Linked DNA regions of Tamandua tetradactyla. The protein of the gene in region 2 interacts with the protein of the main gene of each other region in a pairwise test. Links are inferred from orthologs where the notes say so. Each region holds a gene or a part of one and is shown on either strand. Other genes may lie near its edges. The genes, in order: CYTH3, IPCEF1, CYTH4 and CYTH2.

Evidence for each region.
Region 1: the proteins of IPCEF1 (region 2) and CYTH3 interact in binary tests that used the Homo sapiens proteins (3 or more experiments, as listed by UniProt). The link is inferred for Tamandua tetradactyla from reciprocal best matches to the Homo sapiens genes IPCEF1 and CYTH3.
Region 3: the proteins of IPCEF1 (region 2) and CYTH4 interact in binary tests that used the Homo sapiens proteins (3 or more experiments, as listed by UniProt). The link is inferred for Tamandua tetradactyla from reciprocal best matches to the Homo sapiens genes IPCEF1 and CYTH4.
Region 4: the proteins of IPCEF1 (region 2) and CYTH2 interact in binary tests that used the Homo sapiens proteins (3 or more experiments, as listed by UniProt). The link is inferred for Tamandua tetradactyla from reciprocal best matches to the Homo sapiens genes IPCEF1 and CYTH2.

What each region holds. Positions count from the first base shown.
Region 1 is NC_135349.1:5,669,610-5,677,135, reverse strand, and holds the start of CYTH3 (cytohesin-3), read right to left. Parts: upstream 3,010-7,526; 5' UTR 2,876-3,009; coding exon of another isoform or gene 2,872-2,875; coding exon 2,829-2,871; intron 1,866-2,828; exon of another isoform or gene 1,261-1,865; intron 1-1,260. UniProt on the Homo sapiens protein: Promotes guanine-nucleotide exchange on ARF1 and ARF6. Promotes the activation of ARF factors through replacement of GDP with GTP. Plays a role in the epithelial polarization.
Region 2 is NC_135328.1:146,556,449-146,564,236, forward strand, and holds the start of IPCEF1 (interactor protein for cytohesin exchange factors 1), read right to left. Parts: upstream 3,017-7,788; 5' UTR 2,516-3,016; intron 1-2,515. UniProt on the Homo sapiens protein: Enhances the promotion of guanine-nucleotide exchange by PSCD2 on ARF6 in a concentration-dependent manner.
Region 3 is NC_135333.1:29,589,126-29,596,025, reverse strand, and holds the start of CYTH4 (cytohesin-4), read right to left. Parts: upstream 3,006-6,900; 5' UTR 2,908-3,005; coding exon 2,889-2,907; intron 1-2,888. UniProt on the Homo sapiens protein: Promotes guanine-nucleotide exchange on ARF1 and ARF5. Promotes the activation of ARF factors through replacement of GDP with GTP.
Region 4 is NC_135342.1:12,587,077-12,594,594, forward strand, and holds the start of CYTH2 (cytohesin-2), read right to left. Parts: upstream 3,004-7,518; 5' UTR 2,878-3,003; coding exon 2,763-2,877; intron 2,450-2,762; coding exon 2,302-2,449; intron 2,217-2,301; coding exon 2,150-2,216; intron 1,110-2,149; coding exon 991-1,109; intron 713-990; coding exon 632-712; intron 201-631; coding exon 88-200; intron 1-87. Other genes in the region: KCNJ14 (ATP-sensitive inward rectifier potassium channel 14), read right to left, coding at 6,908-7,504. UniProt on the Homo sapiens protein: Acts as a guanine-nucleotide exchange factor (GEF). Promotes guanine-nucleotide exchange on ARF1, ARF3 and ARF6. Activates ARF factors through replacement of GDP with GTP.

The DNA.
Region 1 (7,526 bases), on a different chromosome or scaffold from region 2:
AGAGATTAGCAATAGCAAGACGCTGCTACCACCTGTAAAGGGGAGGAGATTTCCAAGGTTGGGGGTTAGGGTCGCTGGGCAGAAATGGAAACACAGAGGACCTGGTAGTGGGAGCTGGAGCCAGGAAAGAAGCAAGGCACCTGCCAGAGCCGCTGTCTGAGGCTGAAGGAGGGGACACGAAAAATAACCCAGCCTCTCCCTTCCTCCTGCCACCCAACCTCTCAGGGGGCTCCCTCCGGCCAGACTCGGCCGAAGCCAGCTACCCCAGGTCCGGGAAATGCAGCCTACCCTCCTCCTGGGAGAAGGGCAAGGCACGACCTGAAGGCCAAAAGGATAGAGGCCAAAGCTGCTTCCACAAAAAGCTGAAACAAACTTACACCTCCACCAGCAACGAGACTGCCTCGCAAGCGGGCAGTTTGCAGACCAGGGGGAAGGGGGGCACTGCCTGATAGGTGAAAGGCGGGACTCAATACAGCTTTAATTTATATTTATCTCATAATGAGGGAAGCTGAACATCTTTTCAAGTGAGGCACAAACTTGACTCTTATCTACATTAATGAGGTGGGAGGCAGCAAGGTCATTTAACAGCACCTGCCCTGGATGGTCCATTAGGAACTTCAAGCATATTCCAAAACTGGTCATTAAGATGGTGGCTCCTTGCCAAACCAGCCAGTCACCTTCCTAGTAGAGACATATCTCAAGAATTGTTCTGTTAAAACTGAAAGGCGAGTCCCAAAGGAACTAAAAATGCCTTAACTATGCTCTGCACACGTTATACTTAACAATGCGTTCCTGTAATCTCGCAGCCCCCACTTGTTCCTCCTTATAACTGCACTCCAACCATTCATATCACCATCCTCTCTCCTTATCTTGCATTGAAAGAACATATAATAAATACATCCTGGGCAAAAATTAAATTATAAAAGCAGTAAGCAGGAATCAAATTTTGGAGTCTTTTAAATCTGACCAACACGTTCACAAAGACCTTTTAAATTGTCTTTGGCCTCTGCAATAACAGCTATTTGACTAGATTATTTTTTTAAACAAAGCTGAAACTGACACCCCCAATACTGTTCTAGGTTGTGTATCGTACTCTAAAAATATGCAAAAAATGTTGTCTTTTACAATCACAATTGTCTGACAGTTGACTGATAACTGAAATTATCTTTCAAAGGGCTGAACTTTATTTTAAAAACACAAATTTTAAAGCTAAGTATTTCAAAAAATGCTAAATTAATTCTTCAACATTTCTTTACTCAGAGTCCAAAGCAAATTGCAAACAAAATCGCCAAGCCAGCTTCCCGGACTCGAAAATGTCAAAGGTTTAAACATCACGGTCGTTCTGTCTACTTTCTGAGAAGGAAAACCTGCTCTGCCTGCGGGGTTATTCACATTGTGACAGGCAGACTGCACCCACAGGGAATCCTTCGCTCCGGATCCTGTCTTCAGGCAGCCAGCCTGGCTGGAGGAGGCTTTGCAACGGGGCTCCTTCTTTCCACAACACTTTCTTTCATAAACAACACACCCACTTGGTGTCACAGAGCCGGCCCTCGCTTTCACGCGGAGAACCCAACTCTCCAAATGCCACCACTCGTGCCAACTTCCCACCACCGCCGCCGCACTGCTTCTTTCTGCAAAAAAAAAAAAAAACCAATTCCCTCCCGGGAGCACTCAAGTTCTAGAAGGCACCTTGATTAAACCACTTCATCCCGAAGCATCCGATGCAGCTGATTCTTACAGGCAACCGCTGAGCAGCCTGTAATTAGGATTTTTCAAAACGCCTCCTTATTACAAGGAGTTCGGATAACTTCGGTCAGCCAGTTAAATTAAAAAAAAAAAAAAAAAGGTACTCTTTAGCAAAAGTATAGAGGATCGCAACTCCGGGTGTTCCGGAAAAAAATAAAAATAAAATAAAAGGAACATTAACCCTTTGCCTGCCAAAACAAGAACCCACCCCCTGCGCAGACTCGCAATTCGCAGCAGCCCGTGCCCCGACACGACTGAGCGTTGCATTCCACCGAGATAATCTCAAACACATGAGAGCCTTCCAGCACCAGGCCCGTGAGCCTCGGACGCAGACCCCATGGCCGTGCCCACCCCAACCCGACCCGCTTCGGGGACGCTCTCCTCCCCGCCCGAGGCGCCCGAAAAGGCTTCCCGGGTCCCGCCCTCGGCTGCCCGCCGCGGCTCGTCACTCCGACCCCCAGCCCAGGCGACTCCTTCTATTGCCGACTCGGTACCGGTCACGGTTTCACAAAACGCCTGTCCAGACCTGTCCCCTCGCTGCCCCCTCCTCAAGCAATTCCAGCGGCCGCGTCTGACCCCAAAGCCAAGAAAACTGTCATTCCTTGTAGTCCTCTAGCCCCCTCCCCTCTTTTCCCAGGGAGGGTCCCCAACTGGAAACTTTCCTCCTGCCCGTTCCCCGTGGACTCGGTCCCCCTCCGGCCTCCCCGAGAAATGAGGCAGAAAGGGGGGTGCTCCGGAGGGCGTGGACGCCCTTGGCGAGGGGATGCGGGGAAGGTCGCGCGCCGGGGGCCCCGCGCCCCAAAACAGCCACCCGGCAGCCCCGGCCCGAGCCTCCCCGGCGGCCCCGCACCGGGACCCCCGCTCGGGTTCGGCGGCGACACCAGCCGGCTCCTCCCCGGCGCCCCCCACCCCCCGGCTCGGGCTCCGGGCCCGGCGCGTCGCGGGCCTCGGGCGGTCTCCAGCCGGCCCCGCGCTGCCCCCGGCCCTGTTTCCTCAGGCCGACCCCGGACCCCAGCCGCCGCCGCCGCCGCCGGGCCCGTCCCAGACCCTCAGCCCCAGGCCGCCGGCCGGGCGGGCCACACCTCCGGCACTCACCGCCGCCGCCCTCGCCGCCGCCGTCTTCATCCATCCTGACGTGACTCCCGCAGCCGGCGAGCCCCGGGCCGGCGGGGCGCGCGGTGCAGATGGCGGAGGGGGGGAACCGCCGGTCCGGAGCGCGCGTAGAAGGCTGCGGGGTCGCGGCCCGGAGCCTCCTCGGGCCGGGCTGGGCGCTCGCGCTCGGCGCCGCCCGCCGCCGCCGCCACCGCCGTCACGTGACGCCGAGGGGCCCGCCCCCGGGTGCGGTGGGCGGGGCTGCAGACGGCGCGGCCCCGCCCCCGGGAACCCGCCCGAGCCCGCAGCCCAGTCCGCGTGGGCCCGCCGCCCGGGCGCCTTCGCCTCCGCTCTGGCTTGTGGGGGTCCTCCAGGGCGAACCAGGCATCGAGACGCGCCTCCCCGCCTTAGGCGACCTACGCACAGATGTGGGGTCCGAGACGCAGCAATGCCCCATTCTGCAAATCCCCGTGGCCGGGGGGGGGGGGGGGGCGTCCTCTTTGCACGTGCAGGCGGGGAAAAAGACCAGGTGAGGCAAGTGCTCGCAAGTCAGACCCTCGACCTGCGGCCCAGGAGAGTTTAGGTCTCCCCGGCCTTCAGGATCATCGCAGCCTTTTCGGCTCTCTGATGCGTAATGGAGCCTCTTCTCCCTTCCTGGGGATCAGCGTACACTTTCACATGAACAGCGTGTAAGGCTTGTGAATGAACGCTGTCGCTAGGTGGGAACCCGAGCGGGCACACCTGTGCCCAGCCCTGCGCGGGCACTGTACGAGGTTGGCCAGTTCAGCCTCAGATGCCCTTGGAGTTTAGCTCTAGTCTGCCTTGAAAAGCTGCCAGCTGCCCTGGATTTATGATGCAGACGCACAGAGATGAGAGAGAGAGCTCTCAATTCACTTTCCCCCCGGGGGCACAGCCAGGGTCCTAAGCACTGGTCTCCTAGGAAGAAGACCGCAGCTTGTCTCTGCTCCACATCTTTCACGTTCCTAATTACTGCCCCTGCTCCCCCGCAGCATTGGGTGTGGGCCCCACCCAGGCCTTTCTGTTCATTTTGCATGAGCTTAATTGCATTAAAGAAAAGCAAACACTGTAATGGAGGAGATGGAGTCTACCTAATAAAATTTTCCTGTAACTGTTTATCCTCACAAATGACTCATTGAATCCAAGGATCCCTTTTCCACTGTCGTCTATTAAAATGGACCGTTTGCTGGAGATCCTGGGATGATTCCAGAAGTTAGAGTTGAATTTCCCGAAAATTTCAAGAATTAAGCACGTGCATTCCATTTCTAAAGCCCTCGGGGACACTTCTGGGTGCAGATAAGATATTTGGCAGTTTATGTGACAAATGTGTAACAGAAAAGGGAGTCAAAAGACTTAGGTTCAAGACTCAGCCCACAAACTTGGCTTCCTGATCTTGTTCCTGTCAGCTTTATCTTAGAGATAACTACACAGTGACCGGGGGGAAATGACAGCATATTTTGAACTGGATAATATGATAGGGTGATATGTGGAGTTTTGAACTCAAAAGTACTGTCAATTATAAATGCTTGTCAATGTCAGTCCCTAATTCCTTAGGTCCCTTGGCGTGTGATCCATAGATGCTTCTCACAGAGTTTGAATTATTCCATTCCAATTGTGGAATTCTTGACAGTTATGCCAAACACTTCCAAGCAAACAAACGTTTCTTGACCTCCAGAACACAGCATCAATGAAGATACCTAAAGATTCCCTTTTTGGTCTTGTCTCCTTTCTGGAAAGAATTCATCCAACCATGACCACTGTAAAAAGTTAATAATTGGCTCAAGAAACAGGCACAATCGTCCATAAAAGGAATGAAGTTCTGATACTGCTATACAAGGGGTGAACCTTGAAGACATTGTTTTGAGTGAAATGAGCCAGACACAGAAGGACAAATATTGTATGACTTCACTTGTATGAAATATCCAGAAAGCGCAAATTCATAGCAATGGAAATATAAATAATTGACCTGGGCCAGGGAGATGGAGGGCAGCAGAGAGTCATTCCTTAATAGGTGCGGAGTTTCTCTTTGGGGTGATGAAAATGTTTTGGTAATGGATGATGGCAATGGTTGCATAACATTGTAAATATATTGCCATTGGAGTATACAACTTAAAAATGGCTAAAATAGTAATCCATGTCAAAGTCTGAAATATGTTCTACAACTAATTGTGGTGCTGTGCTTTGAAATTTATACCTTTTTCATATACATGTTATTTTTCACAAAAAAAAAAGGAAAAAAAGTCGACTGTGATGATAAAAAAATATTTAAGCCCTCTAGCCTCCTATATTCTGGAGCAGCTAGAAGGAAAAATATGAGAGGACCATATGGTAGCCCGTGATGAACTGTGGCTCTTAACCACTCTTAACCACTTGTTGAAGAGTGCTTTGAAAACTTACTTTTTTATTTCTTTGCTTTGTATATATGTTATACCATACAATAAAAAAGTTTAAAAATAGTAATTGCAAAAAACTGTGACCATCGATTGTAACAAATTTTCGAAAAAATGCAAATGTTGGTAAAAAAAAAGGTTAAAATGGCAAATTTTATGTTACATATATATATATGTTCATTCCCTCAATACAGTAAATTTAAAGGAAAAGAAACAGATGCAGAAAATTCTGATTTAAATTAAAGTTCAAGATTTAAGAACACAGGATTTAGCTCACTCCTCCCTAAGCTACAAGCAGCTGCCCTTTTCTGCCAAAAGTGCCTCTCAGCTACCATGTCCTTGGACCCAGAGAAGCCCAGGCCTTTGCCTTGATCTTACTAAGTCCCTGTAAATAATGTCGCCCTCTCCATCTAATCTAATTGGTATCAAAATAAGGCATAGCCCATTTATTTGTAAGTAGAATATTATATTATCCCTTTAGTTAAATCTGGGCCCCATTTCAATAAAGCCTGTAAAAATGTAGGGGGAATAAAGTCTTAGGGTGTCATTTATACATCTAACTACAGGGAGGGGCACTTAGAAGACTTTAGACCCTGCACAACCAAAGAAAATAATATCTAATGGGAAAATGAGATTTTTTTTTTTAAGGAAAGGTGCTTCCTGGTCTCTCTCAAATCCCAGCACAAATCCAATCTGCTTACATGCACGCTGCCCCACACATAGGAACACTAAGAATCCTGATTTGTCCGCTAAGATTAGGCCATCACTTTATGTCTGGCTTATGAGTGGTTTACTCGGAGGTTGAACTCTTTATAAGTGAATCTTTAAGGGAAACAATTTATGCAACAGACATCTCTCCAAGATAACAAGTATTGAACCTCAAACCTCATTGGGACCCTTCAATCAGACAATAAATATTTAGGTCATTTCTATATCCCAGGCACTGTCCTAGGTGCTGGGAATATGACAATAAAAAGACAGATCATTCCATACCCTCATGAGACTTATGGCCAGGCCCAGAAGCACCAGTCATTAAGCAAATAATTCACAAATAATTGTTTCATTGTAATTTTTGATACCCTACCCTACCTTACCCACAAGACTTTCTCACAGTATTGCCTGTTCCGAGTATTGCCTGTTCCGTGTGTTTCAGCTTTGCACTTTTGCAGCTCCTTGGGGAAGACAGAGACTGTGGCCTGTGTTTAATTTGTCTCTGCCACCCACTGCAGGGACTACCCAGGTCAGAAAAGGGAGAAACAACAGTGTTAGTGGCAGCTGCTGGACTAACAAGGCAATCAAAAGTGAGAGACCTTTTGAAAGCATGTTGAAACCCATTTATCAGCCCTCTGACTGTTGCAGAAATAGTTTAAGAAACCTTCAATGTGCACATTCTGAGAAAGGTGAAAAAGACTTCTCGTTTGCACGTTCATCTCCCTCATTCAAGCGGACGTCCGTGAAATCGTACAGAAGTCTCCTCTCCCAGGACTAAGGGCCACCATAGGCAAAACCCTGCCAAGGCCAGTTTCCTTGTGCTTGGCCAGAAAGAGGCCGTCCGGGCTGCATGAGCTACGGCTGCTCCCAGACCGTGCACAGAGCAGTTCCTGTCTCCTTCGATAACGGTCAAGCAATGCAGACACGGCAGTGACCTTCAGCAGATGGGAACCTCAGCTAATCTGTCACATCTGCTCAGAGGTCTGGTCCACTCGGGGGAAGGCACACAGAGCCGCCTGCTTGCTCTCAGCTCACGGTCACGAAAGGAACGTCATATTTTCCGAAATCTAATTTCATCTAGGAAAGAAAGCATCTCATCAGAGTGGAGATGAGCTTGTGCAGATTGGCAGTCTCCACTCCACCCAGACAAATAGCAGAGGTCCAAGCCTCGGGTCAGAGCTCATTCGATTTTCAAACGCCCAGATCTTCTGATCCCCAATGTGTGCGGAGGCTCCCCTTCCATTCGTTCCATGTGGCTTGCCTTGCACTCGGTTTCCCTGGAATCCGCCCTCTTGACACCGGCTCCCTGGCCTCCCCTTACCAAGGGCAGGTTCATTCCTTTTAGATTGATTAGCAACTTGCCTTTTTGCAAGCACAAGTTCCTTTAGTGGTAAACTTGGAAAAATGAAGTTAAACCACCATTTTGAGCTCTTTGTGCTTGGAAGAAAAGGACTATACCCATTCAAAGCAGTACCTGTATTAAGTTATTACACACAAGTAATAAAAAGCTGGGTTATTTTTATTTAGTTCTTCATTTTTAGAGTCTGTCCCTGACCTACTGTTCTAGTT
Region 2 (7,788 bases):
TGATAAGTGCCATTTAGTGAAGATCCATGAAGTGCAGGCACTATACAATCATATTTCTAATCCTCACACAACAGCCCAAAATGGTGACTATATTATAAACACCCCCTTCTAGTAGTTCAGAGGTGATACAACTTGTAAGTGGTGCATACAGATTTTGAACAGGTGTCTGACACCAAAGGTAGGTTTTCTCCCTGCTGTATTGCACTCCCCTCCCCAAACTCACCACTATCACCATCTCAAACACCACCACCTCTGTCACCACCACCATCTTTACCACCTCCACCACCAATCTCTCCTCTACCAACTTGTGATAGTTAGGTTCAGGTGTCTACTTGGCCAGGTGATGACGCCCCATTGTTCTCTTGTTGTGGACTTAAATCATCAGCATATGAAGTTCATGTATGGCTGATTACATCTGCAGTCAACTAAGGGAGTGCCTTCAACAATGAGTGACACTATTTAATTTAATTAGCTGAAGGCTTAAAAGAGAGAGGTCAAAAAAGAGCTCAGCAGCTCAGCATACCTCATCTCAGTACTTGACCCAGACGTTTGGAGATGTCAAAAGGAATCATCCCAGGAGTGCCGACTGAACCCAGAAGCTGGGAGGGAAGCCCAGCAAATGTTCACTGTGTGCCTTCCCATGTGACAGAGAAACTTAGGGGAAAGCCAGCTGCCTTTCTTCTGAAGAAATTATAAATTTGTAACTAAATAAATTCCCTTATTAAAAGCTGATCCCTCTCTGGTGTGTTGCATTCTGGCAGCTCTAGTAAACTAAAACACACCTCTCCCACCATTTCCAACAACGCCTCCAACACCACCTCTACCATCACTTCCAACACACCACTATCTCCAGCAATTCCTCCAACACCACCTCCACCACCACATTTCTACTGTCACCTCTGTCACCTCTGCCCACTTCTACCTCCACCACTTCCACCACCACCCCCACTGCCTTCAACACCAATATGTCCACTTTCAACACCACCGACACCACTTACGACTCACCTTGCCATCCCTTCCACTTTTCTACCCTAGGGTTTCTTATCATCTCTCTTTTGCATAGTCTTTCTTCTTTTCACACCCTCATATTCTCCTCCTCTCCTGCTTCACTTTGACCTCTTCCCCCATCCCCTTACATGTTACCAAATCCTCCTGGGTAAGAGAAATAAAGCAATGACTACCCCCACCACACTCAGTATATGAACATCCTAATTATTCACTCATTCAACAAATGGTTACTAAGTATAAGATGCGTCAGGCATTGTTCTGAGTCCCGCGGGTACAGTAATTTCTGCATTTGCAGGATTTTCTTCAACACCAAAAGGCCTATTTTTCTTTTTTAGGATTTTCTATGTACACACACCCACACATACCCACAGCCATGTTACATCTGCTTGCAAATTGTTAGCCTGTGCTCTGGTTATCAGCACACACAGCCCAGCCTCCAAGGTGGATGGAAAGGAGAAGTGAGCAGCTCAAGAAGGATACTCAAGTCAAAAGGAAAGTCTCAGGCAATAGCCATGAAGTAATTTCTTATCTCTTATTGCCACAGCAAACTACCACAGGAAAGAACTTCCTATTTCCATAGTCTAATGATGCACGCTTGCTTAACGCCACTTGCCTGAAGTAATTTATACGTGGACTCTCTCTAGAAAAGACACTTGATATATAAAGAGAAGGAAAGAAAAAAAATTAAAAGGTAAATCAAAGAGTGGGCACATCAACAAATATGCAAACAATTCCTTTTCCTCCTCAACTGCATGATACGAGCAGAAAGGAAACTGTGTTCTTTGTGTTTCAATTTCCAATGTAAAATTAATACCTCCAGAGGATTCTGCCTATGCCTTTTTAGGGTAGAGGACAGTACTAGGAACACAGAAGCCTCTGAAGACTAGAAAGTCCACTTCTATAATCAAACATGTCTTAGTGGGTTGTGATTCTAACTCCTCTAATTAAAATTTTTTTCACATACACCCAAGCAAAGAAAACCAACCACCCTAAAGGCCTGTGGTAAAAGCCTTGTACCTGCCTCACCTTAGCTTTCCTTTTCATATTTTTTCAAGCCTGTGACTTTTATTGAAAAGTAAAATCCCCTCCAGCTGCCTGATACAAAGGGGGATTCTCCACAAAAAGCACATTACTCAAAAGTGGGCAGCCGCAATGTTTTTCAAAATGAACTCTTTAGGACCCAAACAAACACTGAATTGTGCGTCCCTAAATCAAACCCACAGTCTGCAGTTCTAACAGCTATCAACATAACATCCATTTAAGAAAAAGAGAGAAGCACAGTAAGTACACAACTCTATCCCTCTAAGCTTTAACAAAGTTAGAAAATGCCTTTAACACAGCACATAACAGCAGTGGATTTATGAAGAGCTACGCAAATATGATATCCCAAGAACCACATTTCAGAACTCACTATTCTAAAGATAGTGTTAGGGTATCAATTGCTTTTCTATCTCAACATGCCAACCAATTACTTCCCATGCATTAGTCAAGGAGTGGTTTTACTTACATGCAATAAGAAGAGAGTAAATCCGAGAGCTGTTGTTTTATCCCTGAATTCAGAAAATTCATAATAGAATTCCACTCTAAGCAGCTAGAGCTCTGGAGGCTCAGTCTACACAGGTCTGCCATTCAAAGCTGACCAGAGAATAAAACTCTTACGAAAGAAGAGGAAGTGCCATCTTACTTCCTCAATTTTATTGTTCTTCCTTCTTATTGTTATTGAGCCCTTCCTTGATTCCAACACCTAGGACACAATGCATGCAAAGTGGGCATGTCCTATCTGACTGATTTTGTCTATCACTAAACACTATGCAGTGTATCCATTGGCAGAACAGAGGTACAAACATTCCATGGCTTCACTTTCCTGTTTGAGGGTAAAGCTGTTTATTTACAGGCATTGAGAATGAAGTCCTTTGCAGAGCTGTTCCCATCATGTCAGGGTGAGATGACATTTTTTCACATATCATTGACCTCTTTCATGTTCTCATCTCCATGTGAGTTTTCTTCCTTTCTGGTCTCCTAATCATTTTACTAAATAAACAAGGTAAGAATAAATTTCTAAAAGGCATTTTAAGACAAAATTAAGTCTTAGCCCACCATTGTTCTGCAGTAAATACAATAAATTCTCTAACTTCAAAGCTTTTCTTTCACACAGGAGAAAAAGAAAACAACAGACTGAAAGTTAGAGATGTTTGAACTTATCTCTGCTAAATTCCTGCCACCTGCCTCACACCTACCATAAACCCCCCTTTTCAACTCCAGCTCTTGTCTCTTTATACCTCCATGGGGAAAGAATGCAGTCTTATTCATTTATACCCTGCTTTCAAAGAAAAGGAAATAAATCATTAGCAATGGGCTCATAACCAAGGCAATCTTTCTAAATGTGGGAGCCGTACCCTTAGCATGCACACTATTTCTCAGTCATTGCATAATAGAGTACCACAGAACTTAGAGGCTTAAAATAAAAAGTGTTTATCATGTTATATTTTCTGCAAGAATCTGGGCATGGCTTGGCTGGTGTCTCTCACCAGGTGGCATCACGCTGTTGGCTGGGCTGCAGTCATCCAGAGGCTCACCCAGGGAATGAACCTCTCCCATGCTCACTCACATGGTCATGGATAGGATTCAGATTCTCATGAGCTCTTGTCTGGGGACTTCAGTTCAGTTCTAGCTATTGGCCCCAAACCACCTTCAGTTCCTTGCCACATGGGCCTCTCCTAAGGGCAACTGACAACAAAGCCAGAGCAAGCAAGTGAGAGAGAGAGAGAGAAAGAGAATGAGAGAGAGAATGAGACAGAGGTCACAGTTATTTGTAACCTAATCTCAGAAGTGATATCCTGTCACTTTTGCCATATTCTCTTTATGAGTCACTAAGAAGTGAGTCACTAAGGCCAGTGTACCCTCACTAAGAGGGAATGATACAAGGCACGAATACCCAGAGGTGGGGATCACAGGGGGCTATCTTAGATGGTGGCCTACCAAAATATATAAGACTTTTTATTTATTTATTTTTTTTTTGGGGGGGGGCATGGTCCAGATATCGAACCCGGGTCTCCTGCATGAAAGGCGGGCATTCTAACCTCTGAACTACCCGTGTACCCAGTATTCAAGACTTCTCTCCAAGATCAAGTTGCCCCTGTCAAGCCAAATACAATAAGAGGGAAGACCAGTCTAAAGGTAAAATCATCTATACAGTCATACCAATGAAATAAAAACTGAGACTTTCATCCAGGCATTAAATTAGCCTGCAGCTCTCTCTAATTATTATCAACCTCACAGAACACACCTGAAAACTGAATGACCCTTATCATTTCATGTCCAAGTCAACCTCACAGAACACACCTGAAAACTGAATGACCCTTATCATTTCATGTCCAAGAAACAGATACATTAACATGCAAACAAAAACCTAAACTAAACTATAAAATTAGTTTAGCATCTGGAAGGGAGCTGATGCAATTTCAATAAAAAGAATTCCCTGGATCAGAATTGCCTGACACTTGGTCTTTCTCCTCTCAACACGCAATGAATCTGCTCCTTCCTAAGAATGACCCGGCAGGGCTGCCTTGCCTGTGGCTCCCACCAATGTCTCATAATGCAAAAGCAAATCACTTCTTCCATCTTGCTTTGTGAGCCTGATAGCTTTGTCCATAGGCAATTAGAAGGTCTGTTTTACTGGCAGGCAGACGACTGGGAGAAAGAAGAAAAGGGTCATTCTGAGTAGAGAATTCCGTTGACCTTAGAGCTTCCTAATTTAATGATGTGTTTGTAACATCTGGCATTCCTGACAGAAACCAGTGTCACATGATTTGCAATTTAACTGGCAAAAGATCAAGGGCAACATTTAAAAAGCCAAGTGGAAATCCTCTGTATGGCATGTTTTATGTCTCTGCTTTAGATGGTCAGAAGCTCTTTTTTTTTTTAATTTATAGATTAAACATGGTCTACATCCAAACATACCCCATACTTCACAACCCAAATGTCAATAAAAACTGCACTGAAAATAAATACTGTTGTTGGCAGAGCAGAGGAACAGGTATATATACATAAAGCCACTATTTGGGAAAAATAGTTAGTTACCTTTGGGGAATAGATAATAGTTGGAAACTACTTCAGTCCCTGGTCTCCAGCTTCTCATTTTCTATATATTCATTTCATAAGGAGATCAAAATTATACCTGTAGAAGAGTGAAAAGATTAAAAGAAGATGCTGCACGTTTTGACCAGAAACATGGTTTCATTTTTGTGTAAGCCTCTATTTCTGATAAGCGTCACCTCATTTTCTCCCTGCATTGAGTTGTTCTTCTAGTTCCCTGCTTTATGTAGCATCCAGAGAATACTAGATATTGAAGGAACACTTGCAGACATCAATAGGAGAGACTTGTTTCTCTTTGGGCTTTTAGATGCCATCATCAAAGATACCATCAAAGTACATGTTATTTATAAGTATGGGATCAAGACTGGAGCCACTTAATTCTCTGAGCCAAGATAACCTGATGTGTAGAACTGAATAATCCTCAAGGTGGCTGGCTTGTAGTTCAAGGTGGCGGAATGACTACAGACTTTCCTTGCTTCTTCCATTTCCTCCCAAGACCTCCCTAAAATTGACAGGAGCACTATAAAAAAGATAGAAACCCACAATAACAAAAACAAAATTGGGGTGAGATCATTAGAGTTGGACAGATCTGACCAGATTTCTAGAAGATGGGAAGCTGAAGGGAGAGCAATGACCGATGAAGGTAAATAGGGAACCACGGCATAGTGTTATTAAGGAAAGGATTATGGAGGAAGAAACTATTCATCTGTGGGGCAGCATACCCAAGATGATTAGGACTCAAAAAGCTACAAGAAATCAGCAAATATGAATATGTGATGGGACTGAAAACAGGAAGATTACTTGAAAGTCTGTAAAAATCTAGCCCCTTTCCCATGCTCCTCTTTCACACCATTTTTATATGCCAAGATTTTAACCATACCCATAGGATCCTGTCAGGCAGCCATGTCACTCCACCCTAGGCCAGAGGACTCATCTATAAATAAATTGAAATTATGCAGGGACTACAGATAGCTTATGTGGGGATGGGTGCTCCAGAGCAAAAACTCTACCTTCTGGCACTAGAATGTCACTCAGCATATGCTGGAGGATAACCTATCAGTAGACAAGCTCCACCCACTTGCTTACAATATCTGATCTGATCTGTATTGCTCAGTCTTAAATAGGATCTAAAACCCAGCGGTCACCAGCACTTGAAGTTACCCTGCAGTAGGAAAGAAGAGAGTAAGTGTGTGAAGTATGAGTCCTGGCATGCTGGAGATCAGGAGGCAGAGACTTCAACCTGGGTGACCTGCACACTGGCCATGCCATCTCCCCTGGGTGAAAATGGGACTTCAGGGCACTGAATTTGATTCAGGGGCACGGAAATTCAGTAATGTTATCAGTCGGGGTGCCTGTTACAAACTATAGAATTTACTCTGCCTCGTTTACGCAGAAAGAAATCTAAGATACTCTAAGTTATTGATGGTCTCACCATCAATGTGACTCTGTAATCTTTATCTTCTATCACTGGGCACTAGAAGGTGCTCTAAAGAATTCCTTGGTTTCTACACAACCTCATTTCTGCCTACATTATGCAGCAGCTAACTCCTTGATAATTGGGATCAGTCTCCCATCCAAACAGAATAAACCCTTTGACCTGTACATCCTGTTGGACCCCAAATAGCCTAGTGGCAGTCAACTCAGCTTCCAATTCAATGAACAATAATTGTAATCCTTGCAGAAAGAATTCTTTCCTTGAATTCTAGTACCTTTACATCCATCAAGACCAAAGTCAGAGGGATAAAGTAAAACTCTGCCAGTGGTCAGTAATTGTAGTAATAAGACGTACCACTCTCACTTCCACCCATTAATTCTTAGATGCATAGCTATGGATAAAACAGCAACATACATCAATTCAGTATATATACTGTATCTGCAGAAGTCCAGGAGATTCGGAGAGAGCAGAGAATGCTGCAGCACCACAAAGCTGAGTCCACCAGCCAGCGGTCTTTGGAGACAAAGAAGGAAAATGCCTCCCTGGGAGCTTCATGAAACAGAAAGCCAGGAGACAAAGCTAGCAGATGACGTTGTGTTCACCATGTGCCCTTTCAGCCGAGAGAGGAACCCTGACTGTGTTTGCCAGGTGCCTTCTGGCCTTCTTGAACCAAGGCATCTTCCCCTGGATGCCTTTGATTGGACATTTCTATAGACTTGTTTTAATTGGGACATTTTCTTGGCCTTAGAACTATAAACTCATTAAATTCCCCTTTTTAAAAGCCATTCCATTTCTGGTATATTGCATTCTGGCAGCTAGCAAACTAGAACAGGAACTATAGTTACTAGCTGGGTATACTGATGTCTCAAACACAATAGGAGTTCTGTTAGTAAAAATAAGGGGCAGATGGATAGTGGATGGTCATCTAACAGTATCTACTAATTAATGCTCCCACAGAAGGAAATATTACTTCTTGGATGACAAGTTCTTCCTGAATAGTGATATAAGCCCCTAGTATGAAAAGCTTTAAACTTCTAGATGCAGCAAAACTGTGCCTTGACCAGATATTGTCCCCAGTCACTATACATCCATACTGGGAATTCTGAGAGTAAGGAAAGCTTCCTGAGATATGCTATATTTACTCCTGTTTGTGAGTTCTCCTAGCTGTGCTGAGTTTCTTTTATTCAATAAATCATGAACTTAATTTCAATTTATAGTGTTTACATTTGAGAGGAAGATTTTTCTCATCA
Region 3 (6,900 bases), on a different chromosome or scaffold from region 2:
CCCCATGTCCTGCACCAGTGGCTCCCTACTGTCCCCAGCATTGCCCAGTACAGGACCTGGACACCCAGGATGGGTTATAAAACAAATGAATGAACAAACGAACAAATCATCGGAGACCCAAATCTTCCAACAGACCACCTACATTGCCCCCAGTCCATTTCCTCTCTCAGGCCAGTGTGAAGCACAGCAGTGACTCATCTTCCGGCCTTCCCTGGAGGCCCCTCCCCTCCCTTCTCTCTCCTACGGCCAGGCGAACCTCGGGCTCTTTCTTTTCCAGCATACCGGTTCTTGTCCCTGCTCTGCCACTTCCTGGCTATGTGACATTGGACAAGCCAGGCCTCTGGGGGCCTCGTTTCCTCATGTGCATCATGGGGACAGTCATCCCTGGTCCTAAGGACTTCAGCCTGTTAAACTGCAGAAGAATGAAGCAATAACGGTGGAAAGACAGGCCGTGGGAGGGGGGAGGCAGTTCTCAGCAGGATGTCATCACCGCCCCATCTCACCTTCACGTCAGCTCTGCCACTCATCTGCTGAGTAACCTTGACCCAGACACAGCCCCTTGCTGGGCCTCTTCTCGCCTCCTAATACCCACCTAAGACACATTCACTGAGCTGTACAGTCTGAGCCATCTGTCCCCAAAAAGGCCACAGGAGAAGCAGGGGTGTCAGGGAGAGAGCACTGGACAGAGCGTCAGGGGACAGGGGGTGTGGCCCTTCTCTCGGCCTCCTCTGACACATCTGTCAAACGGGAGCTTTTGAAATGGGCCAGTGTTTCTCTAACTGTGTTCCCTGGAGCCCTCCCTGGTCTACTTCATGGGAGGTGGTGGGTGGGACGTCCAGAGATGGGGCCAGAACTGCTCAGTCTGTGTTGCATTTCGTTTGAAGAAAGGGTACTGTTGCTAAATGAACTGGAAGTCATCTCAACTTCAGGAACTGGACAGCTTCTCCCAGCCCTTATGTTCTGGAATTCCAGGCAATGCTGGAAACTTCTGAGACTCAGGATGCAGGGACATGTCCCTCTTCCAGCCCTTCTTTCTGCCTCATAGGGACACAGCCTTGTCCCATTCTCTCCCAACTTCATAGCCTTTTTTCCTCTTTCACCACAGAACTGGGGAATTTCTCAGCCACGGCCTCTCCCCAGCCCCCACCTCCCCCTTCTCATTCCAGTTCCCCTCCTTTGCCTCTGAGCAGCATCTTTGGCTTCCCCAAAAGGCCTCAGGGCCCTTGCACCGACCAGACAGATGTCACTATCATCAACACCATCATCACCATTACACAAGAAGCCTGTCTCGGTCCCAAATCTGGGCCTTCGTGCTGGCTGTCCCCTCTGCCAGGAAGGTTCTTTCTCCAGAAACCACATGGGCTGCTCCCTCCCCTCCCTCAGACTCTGCACTTTTGTCCACCACATTCATCACCAGCTGACATATTAGAACAGATTTATTGTCCATCCTCCTGCCCCACCCGCCCCCGGGAGAGCCAGCCCATGAGGGCGAGGGGGCATTTTGCCTGATTTGTTAATAGCTCTACCCCAAACTGGGACACAGCTTGACACCCACCTGGAGCTGTTGGGCTTCCCAGATACTTTACATCAATTCACACATTTAATCCTTCCAGGATCCTGTGAGGCAGGCACCATTCTTCCTATTCTACAGAAGAGGACACTGAGGTCCAGAGAGGTTGGCCGTCTTACCCAGGATCACACAGCGAGAGAGTGGAGGAGGGGACTTATGACCAGGCCTGGGAGCCCAGAGTCGCCTTGGGGTCTCAAAAGTCCTGGAGGCCACTGAAGAAACCCCCTGGCCAGGTCCAAGCCAGTCCAAAGTCAGAAGAGCCCACCAGTGTCCGGGGCCTGGTTCCCTCTTGCCCATGAAGCAGTGAGCAAGCTATTTACCTGCCCAGCCTCAGTTTCCATTTCTGTTAAACGAAGCAACAGTTCCTGCCCCCACCTTTTTATAGAGACTGCGAAGCTCACATGAGATAAGACAACTGCCAACCCTTTCTGGATGGGAAAGACTATTTTCTAGGGAACGGAGGGCAAGGTTACCCCTTAACAGGTGGGGATGCTGAGCCCCAGGGTCAGGTGGGCTTGCACAGAGCCCCCAACCTCTGTGCCCTGAGTGCTGAGTGCTCTGTCCTATGCCTGGCCTGTCTTGGTGCACGTTGTGGCCGAGGAGCTCAGGGTGGCCCCAACTCCGTGGACTCCCCCATGTACAGGTCTCTGAGTGCAGAGTCCAGGGAGGGGACCCAAAGCTGACTGGAGGTGGGGTGGGGCAAGCCTGGGTCTGTGAGGGTCTGGGGGAGGGGTGCAATGGAGGCCCGGGCCGAGAAATGCAGTCTGGGACTCCCAATGTGGGGCTGGGATGCCCACCCTGGGCATGTGCCCCTCCCTTCCCACCTCCCCCATGTCAATGCCCTCCTGGGAGGATGCTCACCCTCTCAAACTGGCCATCCCCTCCCCTCCAAGAGCTGGTCTACCCCGGGCACAGTGCTGGGATCCTCCTCACAGGTGCCACCTGTCCCTGTGGAACCCCTCTCAGCCCTCCACACGCAGCTTCCCACTGTCCACCGTTTCTCACTGCACTGCCTGGGAGGTAGAAGGACGGTGGCAGGAGCCCCCGTTGCAAAGTTCTAAATTTGATTCCTCCTGCCTCTCTGAGCCTCTGTCCCCACCAGCCCCAGTCTTCTCTGCAGGCCCTTTGGCGTCAACTTTGTCAGTCCTGCTGAGCATTGGCGGGGGACAGGGGTGCTCGACAGGAGGTATGTCTCGGCCTGTGCCCTCCGGACTCCCCCTGCCCGTCCACTGTCCTCCTCATGGAGCTGAGGTTGTCACTTGCACGCACCTACACACTCACAGCCTTCCCCGCAGCCCCTGCCCTTCCAGGCGCTTACCTGGCTGACACAGGTCCATTCTGAAGCCCCCAGGGAAAGGTGGCCGTGCTACTGTGGTCTGCCGACCCAGCTGCTGCTCAGACTGGCCACCAGGGATGCGTCACCCCCACTGCCAGACCCTGTCTGGCGGCCCCGCCCAGCCCTGTGTGGGGAGGAAGTCCTGGCCCGGCCCGCGGGGTCTGCCGCGCAGGCTCTCCACGCAGCAGCACTTCCTAAAAACCAGCAGTTTTGAGTAGCCTGGGTCCTTTGCATTTTGGGTGTAAACAAGGGAGAAATAGAAAGGAAAGAGACAGAGAGAGAGAGGAAAAGAGAAGGCAGCGAGACAGAGAGAGAAAAACACTCACAAAGAGTGTGACAGCCACTAGCAGACAGAATCTGCTCTAGGACGCAATACACATTTATGCAGCAACCCCCCCTACATATAAGCCAACAGACCATGCAACTTGAACAGGTCAAGCCTGACCCCGGGTATTCCGGTCCACAGAATTTCCTTCACCAACTTCCACCTGAGGGAAAAGTAAAACAAAACGAATTCAGTGCTAGGAAGGGCTCTGTTTCCTCTCAAAGAAATGTCTGCCTTTTTCTTGTCTAGTGACCAATTGGGTAATGTGTTCAGTTTCCCTTTCCCCCTAGGCTGCTGGGAAACTCACAGGCAAATCTGATGTTTATTTATACCTGTTCTATTAAAGCATGTAGACTTTGGGGTCAGGCTCAGCCGTTTGACTCTCAGCTCTGCCACGCAGGACCTGTGTAAACTTGGGCAAGACGCTGACCTGCAGTGGGCCTCAGTTTGCGCATCTATAAAAGGGGAATAATTATTCTCACTTCAGAATTATGTAAGAGACAGAGTGAGATAATGTGTATAAGGTGCTGGAATGTAGCAGGTGCTCAAGAAACTCTATCTTCTTTTTCTCTTTAGAGTTTTTAAAATTAATTAAAAAAATATATGGCAACAAACTCAAACATTCGTAACTTATGATCATTCCATTCTACATATATAATCAGTAATTCACAATATCATCACATAATTGCATATTCATCATCATGATCATTTCTTAGAACATTTGCATTAATTCATAAAAAGAAATACAAAAGACAACAGAAAAAAAATTCATACATACCATACCTCTTACCCCTCCCTTTCATTGATCACTAACATTTCAATCTAAATTTATTTTAACATTTATTCCCCCTATTATTTAATTTTATCCTGTATGTTTTATTCGTCTGTTGATAAGGTAGATAAAAGGAGCATCAGACACAAGGTTTTCACAATCATAGTCACATTGTGAAAGCTATATCATTATACAGTCATCGTCAAGAAACATGGCTACTGGAACACAACTCCATGTTTTCAGGCAGTTCTCTCCAGCCTCTCCATTACATCTTGGATAACAAGGTGATATCTATTTAATGCGTAAGAATAACCTCCAAGGATAACCTCTCGACTCTGTTTGGAATCTCTCAGTCATTGATACTTTATTTTGCCTCATTTCACTTTTCCCCCTTTTGGTCGAGAAGCCTTTCTCAATCTTTTCTAGTTTGCTAGCTGCTGGAATGCAACACACCAGAGATGGATTGGCTTTTAATAAAAGGGAATTTATTTCATTAGTTCTTCAGAGGAAAGGCAGCTAACTTTCAACTGAGGCTCTTTCTTATGTGGGAAGCCTCAGGGTAATCTCTGCTGGCCTTCCCTCCAGGCTTCTGGGTTCCAACAACTTTCTGTGAGGTGATTCCTTTCTGCATCTCCAAAGACCTGGGCTGAGCTGTGAGTGCTGAGATGAGGTATGCCGCGCTGCTTGGGCTGTGCTACATTGCGCTCTCTCATTTAAGCACCAGCCAATTAAGTCAAACGTCATTTATTACAGCAGGCACTCATCCTAGCCGACTGCAGATGTAATCAGCAACAGATGAGCCTCAGGCACCATTAGCTCATGGCCACGGCAACAGAACTAGGTGCCTTCACCTGGCCAAGTTGACAACTGAATCTAACTTCCACTTGTCTACCCCTTGTCAACTTGGCAACTTCATGCATCACCTTAAACAATATTAAGGTGCAAAAAATTTTCTTCTGGCTGCGGACCTGTGAATCTCAAAACAAGTTGTCTGGTGCCAACATGCAAAGGAGGGACAGTCACAAGATCTATAGGGAGAAATGGGAAGGAAAATCTACAGGGCAAACACCACTGGATTTCAAAGTCTGAAAGTAATTTATCCTTCAGCTTTAGAAGGTGGCAGTCCCACCCTTTCCAAGGGCTTATGCAGTGGCCTGCCTCCTTCCAAATCAACCTTGGGGAACGTTGAGGAGATCACCTTTTTCTTGTTTCCACTCTCTCCAGGCATCGGGGCCACCCTTGGGCTCTCTGCCATTTCTGGGGCACACACTCAACCCCTCCATGTGGTGGCAGCCAGGCTCTCCCCAGTCCCCCAAGGAGTGTGCTGTACCTTCTCCAAGGCCTGAGGCTGCACTACTCTTCCACTACAACGAGGTGGGAGACTCATTCTCACCCTTCAGGGTAAACTCATCCTCTCCATGTATATGGGTGGACTTCCACTCACCAAGGCTGACTTGGCTGCAGCCACTGCTGAGTGCCCAATCTGCCAGCAGTGGAGAGCCACACTCAGCCCCCGATATGGCACCATTCCCCGAGGTGACCAGCCAGCTACATGGTGGCAGGTTGATTACATTGGACCACTCCCTTCATGGATGGGACAGAGATTTGTTCTAACTGGAATAGACACATACTCTGGATATGGGTTTGCTTTCCCTTCACGCAATGCTTCTGCCAAAACTACCATCCGTGGGCTTACAGAATGCCTTATCCATCGTCATGGTATTCCACACAGCACTGCTTCAGATCAAGGAACACACTTCACAGCAAATGACATGTAGGAATGGGCACATGCTCATGGAATTCTCTGGTCCTACCATGTTCCCCATCGTCCAGAAGGAGCTGGATTGATAGAATGATGGAATGGCTTTTTGAAAACTCAGTTATGGTGCCAACTAGGTGGCAATACCTTGAAAGGCTGGGATAATGTTCTCCAGGAAGCTGCATATGCTCTGAATCAGCGTCTGCTGTATGGTGTTTCTCCCATAGCCAGGATCCATGGGTCCAGGAATCAAGGGGTGGAAATGGGAGTGGTACCACTCACTATTACCCCTAGTGATCCACTAGGAAAATTTTTGCTTCCTGTCCCTGCAACCTTGAGCTCTGCTGGTCTACAGGTTTAGTTCCAAAGTGGGGAGTGCTTCCACTAGGAGAAACAACAATGATTCCATTGAACTGGAAGTTAAGACTGCCACCTGGTCACTTCGGGCTACTTATGCCACTGGATCAACAAACCAAGAAGGGGATTATATTATTTTCTGGGGTGATTGACTCTGACTATCAGGGGGAAGTAGGACTGCAACTACACAATGGAGGTAAAGAAGAGTTTTCTTGGAATATAGGAGATCCCCTAGGGCATCTGTTAGTACTACCATGCCCTGTGATTAAAATCAATGGAAAACTGCAACAACCCAATCCAGGCAGGACTACCAATGGCCCTGAAACTTCAGGAATGAAGATTTGGGTCACCCCACCAGGCAAAGAACCACGGCCAGTTGAAGTGCTTGCTGAGGGTAAAGGGAACATGGAATGGGTAGTGGAAGAAGGTAGTGATAAATATGAACTTTGAGTATGTGATCAGTTACAGAAACGAGGACTGTAATGCTGTTTTGTTTATGTTATACTATTTAAGTTGTAAGATATCAAGTTTAAGAATGAATGGCAGGACGCTTGCCTGCCATGCCAGAGGACCTGGGTTCGATTCCCGGAGCCTGCCCATGTACAAAAAAAAAAAAAAAAAAAAAAAGAATGAATATTACCCAAGGATTTGTACCCTATTCTGGAGAGATTTAATGTGTTTCCAGTTATATGTAGGACCATTGAGTATTGTTAGGTAAAAGAAAAATGTGTGTTTTATTGTTTTTTATTTAGAAATTAGGTATGGTTTAAGATGGTATGTA
Region 4 (7,518 bases), on a different chromosome or scaffold from region 2:
CCCCCAGCCCCTCCTCTCTGACCCAGTTAGGGGAGGAGCCAGGCCCCCAGCCCTTCCTCCCTCAGACCCTGGAGCCCGGGCTCCCACCTGTGGACTGGAAAACCCCAGGGTTGCACAGGCAGTATCTCTGGGCGAAGGCCTCCATCATCCGGTCGATTTTCTGGGCCTCTCCAGGGAGGCGGAAGCTCCATAGAAACTGCCTGTAAGAGGAGGGGCCGGGTATGGATGGCGGGCTGGCAGGACCCCCTCCCCCACGGTCAGTACCTGTGTTTGGAACTGGCCAATAAGAACTCCAAATCTCTCCTGGACTCAACAGTTGTTTCAAGGATAGATATGTGATTATCTGACTAATGAGCACCACCTCTGAGAATTTTGAAGGACTTATATAGCAACTGCTTCTATTTTTCTGCTGAGGTTGCTCTGTAGGTCTAATGGTTGCTAGAAACTTCTGTTTTCATGTGGGAGGAGGGTCTGCAGAGAGCAGTGCCAACACAGTGGGAAGCATAACCAGGAGCTAAAGTTAACTTCCTGACCCTCTGAGCACCTTAAGTAGTCATTACATGAGTAATTAATTTGCAACTCAGAAAGTCCCAATAGATGCACACCTGCCCTCCCAACCCCTCGCCCTCACCTAAGGGCTTGTACCAGATTGAGGTCGGTGAATTCATGCAGATCCACAAAGGCGTGGAGCACCGCCAGGTTCAGCTCTTCCCTAGGAGGACAGGGACAGATTTACAAACAGAAAGGAGTTTGGGGAGGTTGGTGTGGGAGGAGACCTGAAGCAAAGCCCTGGGAGATAGTGGCTGCTTCCAAACAGTGTGGGCAGTGTCTGCCCGGCCCCCATTGCAGACCTGGCACCAGGGGGCTGGGGGTGGGGGCAGTGCTCAGCACATGCTCATGGCAGGGTCATGGGCTGAGAACCCTAGTTTGACTGCATGAGGGCAGGAGCTGGGGGCATGGGGGACAGGGAGGACCCGCAGGTGCTCTCACCTCTCCCCCAGGTAGTCCCCAATGGCCGTCTTGTTCAGTCCCTCGCCTTTGTACAAGAAGCGGGCGATCTCCTCGGGTGTATTCTGCAGAAGTTCATTCTCCACCAAGAACTGGATGCCCTGAAAGGTAGGAGCTGGGTCTCAGGGCTGGGGCTAGACCACCCTGGTGGTGGTGGAGCCCACCTGCCCATTGTTAACACCCCCAGGAACCCCTTCCCCCTCCCCCAAACAGGGAAGGGCCAGGTTTCCCCTTCAGGCTCCTCCCAGTCCTTCCATCACCTCCCTGCCCTCGTGGCCTTTGCATCTGCTATTCCCTCTGCCTTTGCTGGTTAATTCCAGCACTAAAACCAGGGCCAAGCGAAAAAACCAGATACCCAATACATGCTTCTTGAATGACTGGGACAAACTACAATTGTTTTCGGCAAGAATAATAAAGGGAAAACTGCTAGCAGACAGTTAAGGGTTCTGAAGGCCAGGCCCCAGGCTGGGCTGGGGCTTCTCTGGCCCTTCCTGCACCATGAGGATCTCCATTCTCGTGATCCACTGCTCTGGGTGTGGGTGCTGTGTCAAGAGCTTCCTGAGGGTCAGGCAGAGTCTAACAACTGGGGAGATCTCTGACACCGCCTAGGGCAGAGACAGCCCATAGGAGGCCTTGAGATATGGGTGCTGAATGAATGATGGACTGAAGCAACATTCTTCCTTCACCCCACGAACATTTAACCATCAGTCAAAACTGCCTGGAATGTCACTTCCTCAGGGAAGCCCTCCCTAACTCTACCAGGCTCCCTTCTTGTGTCTGCAGCTCTGGTACTTCCCTCTGTCACAGTACTGGTTAACCCTTTGTGCATGGTCCTGTCCATGTTCCCTACCAGACTCAAGCTCCTCTCAGGATCTAAGGTGATACCAAAAGTGGGTTCAGAAATATGAATAGAAAGGAGAAAAGGCCCTTATAGGCAGGGATACAACCCAAGCAAAGGCAAGGAGGCTGGACCATTTGGTTACGGTTTACAGAATAAACAAACGAACAAATGAATACGTGAATCCAGGGATTAGGATCCAGTGTGTAACCACCCACAGTAAACCTGTCTGTAACCATCACACTTCCACAGGCTGGTGCCAGAACCCCCAAATGGATCCCAGCTCCCAAGGTCCCAAAGCACCTTCTTAGGGTCCATATTGAACTTCTTCCTGCCCATTGCCATCTTCCGGTTCCGCTGCAAGGTCTTACTGCAGGGGCAGAGGGTAGGGGGTGGCGGGTCAGTACCTGGGCAGTTCTAGCCCAGGCCCCCACAGCCCCAGTCCCAGCCCTCACCTGCCCTCATTGGCCTCCAGACCCTCCACCTCGCTCATGGCTTCGCTAAGCTCTTCCCGCAGGCGCTGGATCTCCACCAACAGCTCCTGCTTCCGCCGTCGGATGTTCTCCAGCTCCATCCGTTCCTCTGGAGTCAGGTCTGGGGGTTCTACAGGCAGAAGTCAAGGGCAGAGATCAGGTCTCGGGGCTCCAGGACCTGGATTCTTACAATCTGGGGGAAGGATGGAGCTCGGGGCAGGCAGGACTCCCTAGGTCCTGGGGGAGAATACGAATGAGGGTGCTGACTCCTGTGTCTGAGGAAAGGCAGGCTGGGAGGCTGGGATGCCTGGTGTCTGAAGGAGGAAGGGGCTGGAGGCTGAGTTCTTCCATCTAGGGAAGGAAGTGCTGGGGAAGGAGAGGACTCCGGGCTCCTGGGTCTGAGAGAGAGGGGGACCGGGAGCCCGAACTTCCAGGTCCATTACTTGGGAGGGGGCTGAGGCCTTGGTTTTCTGACTCCATTACTGGCGAAGTGGCGGGGGCCCGGGCTCTCCGGTCCTGAGCGAAGATGGGGCCGGGCAGCCGGACTCCCGGGTCCATGGGAATAGCTAAGGCGGGGCCAGCTGGTGACAGGCTGTAGGGGTTGGGACCGGGGGGCGGGGCATTGGGGGTCCCCGCCCCCGCCTCCGCGGGCCCTGCGAAGCCCCGAAGGTTCCTCCCCGCCCCGCTCCCGGCAGGCACCGGGCTCGACCGGCCTCGCCTCCCCGCTCCATCCCGCCCCCTCCCGCCGCCACCGGAAACAGGCTCAGCCCAAACAATGGCCTGGAAGGCTTCGCTCTCGGGCTTCGCCGGAAGCCCGTCCCGCACTCCACAAAAGCGGGGCGACGACGGGGCCGCGCAGTTGGGGCGGCGCACGCCGGACGGGGGCTGTGGGGGACACCCGCCGCGGAACGCTTGGGACCAGACGCCCCATCCGCTCCCGGCCGGCCCCGCCCCTCCCCGACCTACCATAGACACCGTCCTCCATGGCGGCTAGGAAGGCCCGCGGGGAGTCCGGGGCGGTGCCGCCGGTCGGACCGGGATCCTCGTTGGCCCGCGGGCTCGGGTGAGCCCGCTCAAACGCCCCGGGAGCCACCGCCGCCTCCTCAGCGCCAGTCCTCAGCGCTGAAAAGACTCTCCCTTCGCCTCCCAACCGCCCCGCCGGTAGGGACCGCCCCTCGTTTTGACACTGTCCAATCCACGGCGTGGCCTCTCGTTTGCCCCGCCCCCGACACCGAAGGACCGTCCTCCAGCACCAATGGGCGCATGAGGAGCTGAGATAGGAATGTCGGGCTGGGGGTAGACGGTCGGTGGGGCCAATCGGAGCGCGGTCAGGGCGCCAGGCCCCGCCTCCGGAGCAAAAGAATGCTCTTTGCAGGAGTGCCCACCAATGAGAAGCCTTGGAAATGAGTTGCATGGAGGTGGTAATGTGCGGGAACCTAGAGAAGTGCGCCTGCGCTCGGGCTCTGGACACAAGACTTGTTCAACCATGCCCCGCCTCTAGTAATGAATTGTTGGTGGGGGGGTGGTTGGGGTGGTACTTTTGTTAGGTCTGTTGCCAAGGGGTGGGGCCACAGCTGTCGGTTGTTCCTTTGAGCCACACCTCCTAGCAGACTAGGCTTGCTTTTGACCTCAGCGGTTGCCATGCAACCGGGTGCCGCTTGGCTCACCTTCCTTATGGCCTTTCTCCTCTCAGGCCCCTCCTCTTTCCACACCCTCTTTATTTATTTATTTATTTTACGCCCTCCTGCGTAGTCATCAGCTCTTTCTCCTAAATGCTCTGCTATTGGGGATCTGTCCTGGAGACTGAGACAATAGGAGGCTACAGGCTGCGCCTTCCTGGCCCCTTCTGCTCCTCAGGCTCTCCCCCTCTCCCCTCCCCTCAATGCTCCATGCGTCCTCTTAAACTCCTCCCCCCCCAGTTTAGCATCCTCCTCCAAACCCTTCCCCTTAGCATCCTCCCCCGTAAGAAAACACCCCTTTTCTCAGCATCCTTCCTCCCTCCGAGTCCTTTCCTTCCTCTGAGACGGTTCCACCTCCCTTCCCCAGCCTCTCCTTCCCATACCTTGCTGGGAAAGCCGGTGCAACGTCCGGGCCCGGTGGGGAAGCTGAGCCCTGCTGAACTGGGGCTGAGGTGCTGTCTGAGCATCGCCCTCATTGGTCGCCCCTGGGCTGGGCAAGTGGGGTCGGATTCAGGGCCAGGGCTTGGTTAAGCTGTCGGATTAGACACGGAGCCTCTTAATCCCTTCGCTGACCTTTCTGAGAGGCTCAGACCTTGCCCCCCCACACCCCCAGTGGAGACCCCGGTCGTACCAGCCCTGCCCCCTTCTCTCTTTCCCAACAGACACACCCCCTCCCTTCACTACCATCTTAATACCCTTGCCCACCTCTGTGTTTCCGTTGTGCCCCTCCCTACCTCAGACACGCTGGGCTGGGAGAGAGCAGCCCACTAATTAATCCCATCCGGTTATTACCGAAGGATGAGAGGGGGTTGGGGAGGCCAGAAGTTGGGGCCTGGGTTGAGGCAACACGTAAGCAGGCTGACAGGCAATGACAGTGCCTGTCTTCAGTCCTGGGACACAGGGGTGCGAGGTGCCCTTCTCACTGGCCCTGGCTCCCTCTGTGGCTGGCTCCAAGCCTCCGGGGCACTCAGGTAGATGGGAACATGGGCAGAAGGGCAAGCCTGAGGACCCGTGCCCCGGAAACATTCACAGACACACCCACCAAGTCTCCCAGTTCTTTAATCTGAGGGACAGATCTCCCCCTAAAACACAGGCTTCCCCCACAGTGGGAAGAGCGCTGGCATCAGAGCTACCCCTTTCTCCTTCCCCAGCCCCTCCCCACCCAGCAAGCTGGACCGGGGAAGTGTTGATTTTGGCCCTGGACCACAGCCCACATCATACCCCTCGCCTGCCGTCTGCCCTGTGACTTAGATACCAAGTTCAGAGCCAGTCTCCATGAGTATCTCCCATCTCAGCGTTCCAGGGCTGGGGAGACTCTCACCCCCACCACAACCTTCAGTAAGATGAGAAGCCATCCTGCTGGAAGGGTCCTTGGAGAATGTCAAGTTTCAATGCCCTGTTTTACAGATGGGGAAACTGATGTGGAGGGGAGTTATTTGCCCTAGGTCACACAGTAAGTTGGTGCTAAGTTGAGATTTACAGCAAAGCCTCCCAGATCCTTGTAAGGACTCGGTTCCAATTAGCTCATGCTCAATTTCTAACCTTGTTGTAGGAATGAGGGGAAATATATATCATATATATATATAATACATATATGTATAACATCTTTAAGAAATAGATATACATCACTAGGTGTAGGTTTCCAGAGCTTTCTAGACTCAACAGCCTTGTGTCTCCCCCTTCCCTTACTCGTTAATCAGCCCTGCTACCTACAAGGTTTCACCTGGGCTCTCATCTTCTTGGACAGCCCAGAAATTCTGCTTAGCAATTCCTGGGCCCACCTCCAAGAACTACCAAGCACTCCATCTGGAGGTGATCAGAATTTCTAGGCCTCTGGTAATGGGCAACTCCAGATCCCTGAAGCCTCGATTCCTTTTGGCATTACAGAACCACAAAGAAGTTTGCTCTATCAGTTAACAATCTAGAATCATTGAGATTCTCAATACCACTGGGCAAACCAGAACCAGTATATCAAAATCACCACTCCTTCCTTGACTGTGTGATCAATAGGACCTGCAGAATCCACATTCCTTTGGGCAATCTAGAATGATACTTTAAAAACAAACTCTGAGTCATTCCGAAGCAGTGATTATCCTTTTGGTTGGATGTTGGCCAGTCAGTGGTTTGGAGTTTAACTAATATCAAAAACTGCCAATCTATCATTTCAGTACTTCCAGACCCACAGACTCTCCATTGCTTTGTGCATTTTAGAAACATAACTCTTGAATTTCTGGAGTGGTTTGACTCTCTAGGTCAAACCTGGTTGTGAATCACCAGTGCTTCCCTCTCTGATCAAGCTAGACTCACAGAATCTCATCTCTTGGGCTTTCTGGAACCACAGGTCTTGACTTACAGTCCAGATATTCAGTCATTGTCTCTCATCACTCAAGACAGTCTTGACTACTTGGGGCATTCCATAGCCTTCTCTCCTTGGGTGCTGGAGAACACATGATTTGGTTGAGTCTAGAAACAACAGTTCCTTGAGTTTTAGGTCAATTCAGACCTACAAACTCTTGTTCCCTGTTGCTGTTTGAGAACTGTTAAGTTCCTCCCCCAGAGGTAGTCAATACCACTGATTCTTGACTGTTCAACAACCTGGGACAGCCAGCCAGAGGAATCTAGAACTACTAGTCTTTGCCTCTTGAGTGGTCCAGAATTCTGGATTCCTCTGATCTGTTGAGACTCAGGCTCATAAAGGAGTCTCAGATGGAAGCATGGAACACAGAGGGATGAAGGTCCAGTATATCCATGATGAATCCACCAGGCATGGCAGGGTCTACCTAGATAATAATTTACCCAAGGGGCTGTCGGCCTTGGGGAACCATCTGCCCCCATCCCAGAACAGAGCACCATCTCTCCATCTCGTTGCCTCTGAGAAGGGGGCACAAATGTGGAAACACCAGCTTGTGTCATGGGGGCAGAGTCACTGCCAGGGTTGGTGTGAGAACTCGGGGGCTGGCAGCCCCATCTTCTGCCTCTGCCCCATCTGCATCCTTGGACTCTTCTTCTTCATCTTCCTCCTGGCAGCAGCTCAGAGCAAGTTCATTCTCATAACAAAACGCAGCCAGAGAGCCAGGGAATGTAGACTTGGGGCTGTGGGAAGCTTGCTCTGCCCGTTCATCCAGTTCCTTAGCGCTGCACACAGGTGTCCCTGGGACCTCATATGTGCGATGGAAGTGGCGATAGTCAACCTCATACTGGGAACCACGCTGGAAGAGGACTGGCTCAAAACGATGTCCCCAGAGCAGCTCACCAGGGAGGTAGGACGAGCGACATTGTGTGGTCATGGCTGTAGCCTCAACCATGCCCTCGAGAATGACCACCAGCTCGAAGTCAGCCCGGGCCAGCTCGGCACGTCCTAGCTCGTACAGGGGACTGGCAGAGTCAATCTCATGCACGATGGTGATGGGAGACACGAGGAAGATGCGATCAGTGCCGCCATCAAAGCCCACGTCCACATCCTGGTGGTCCAGCGGGATGTACTCACCCTCTGGGGTCACGCGGGGCTGCAGCAAAGGGT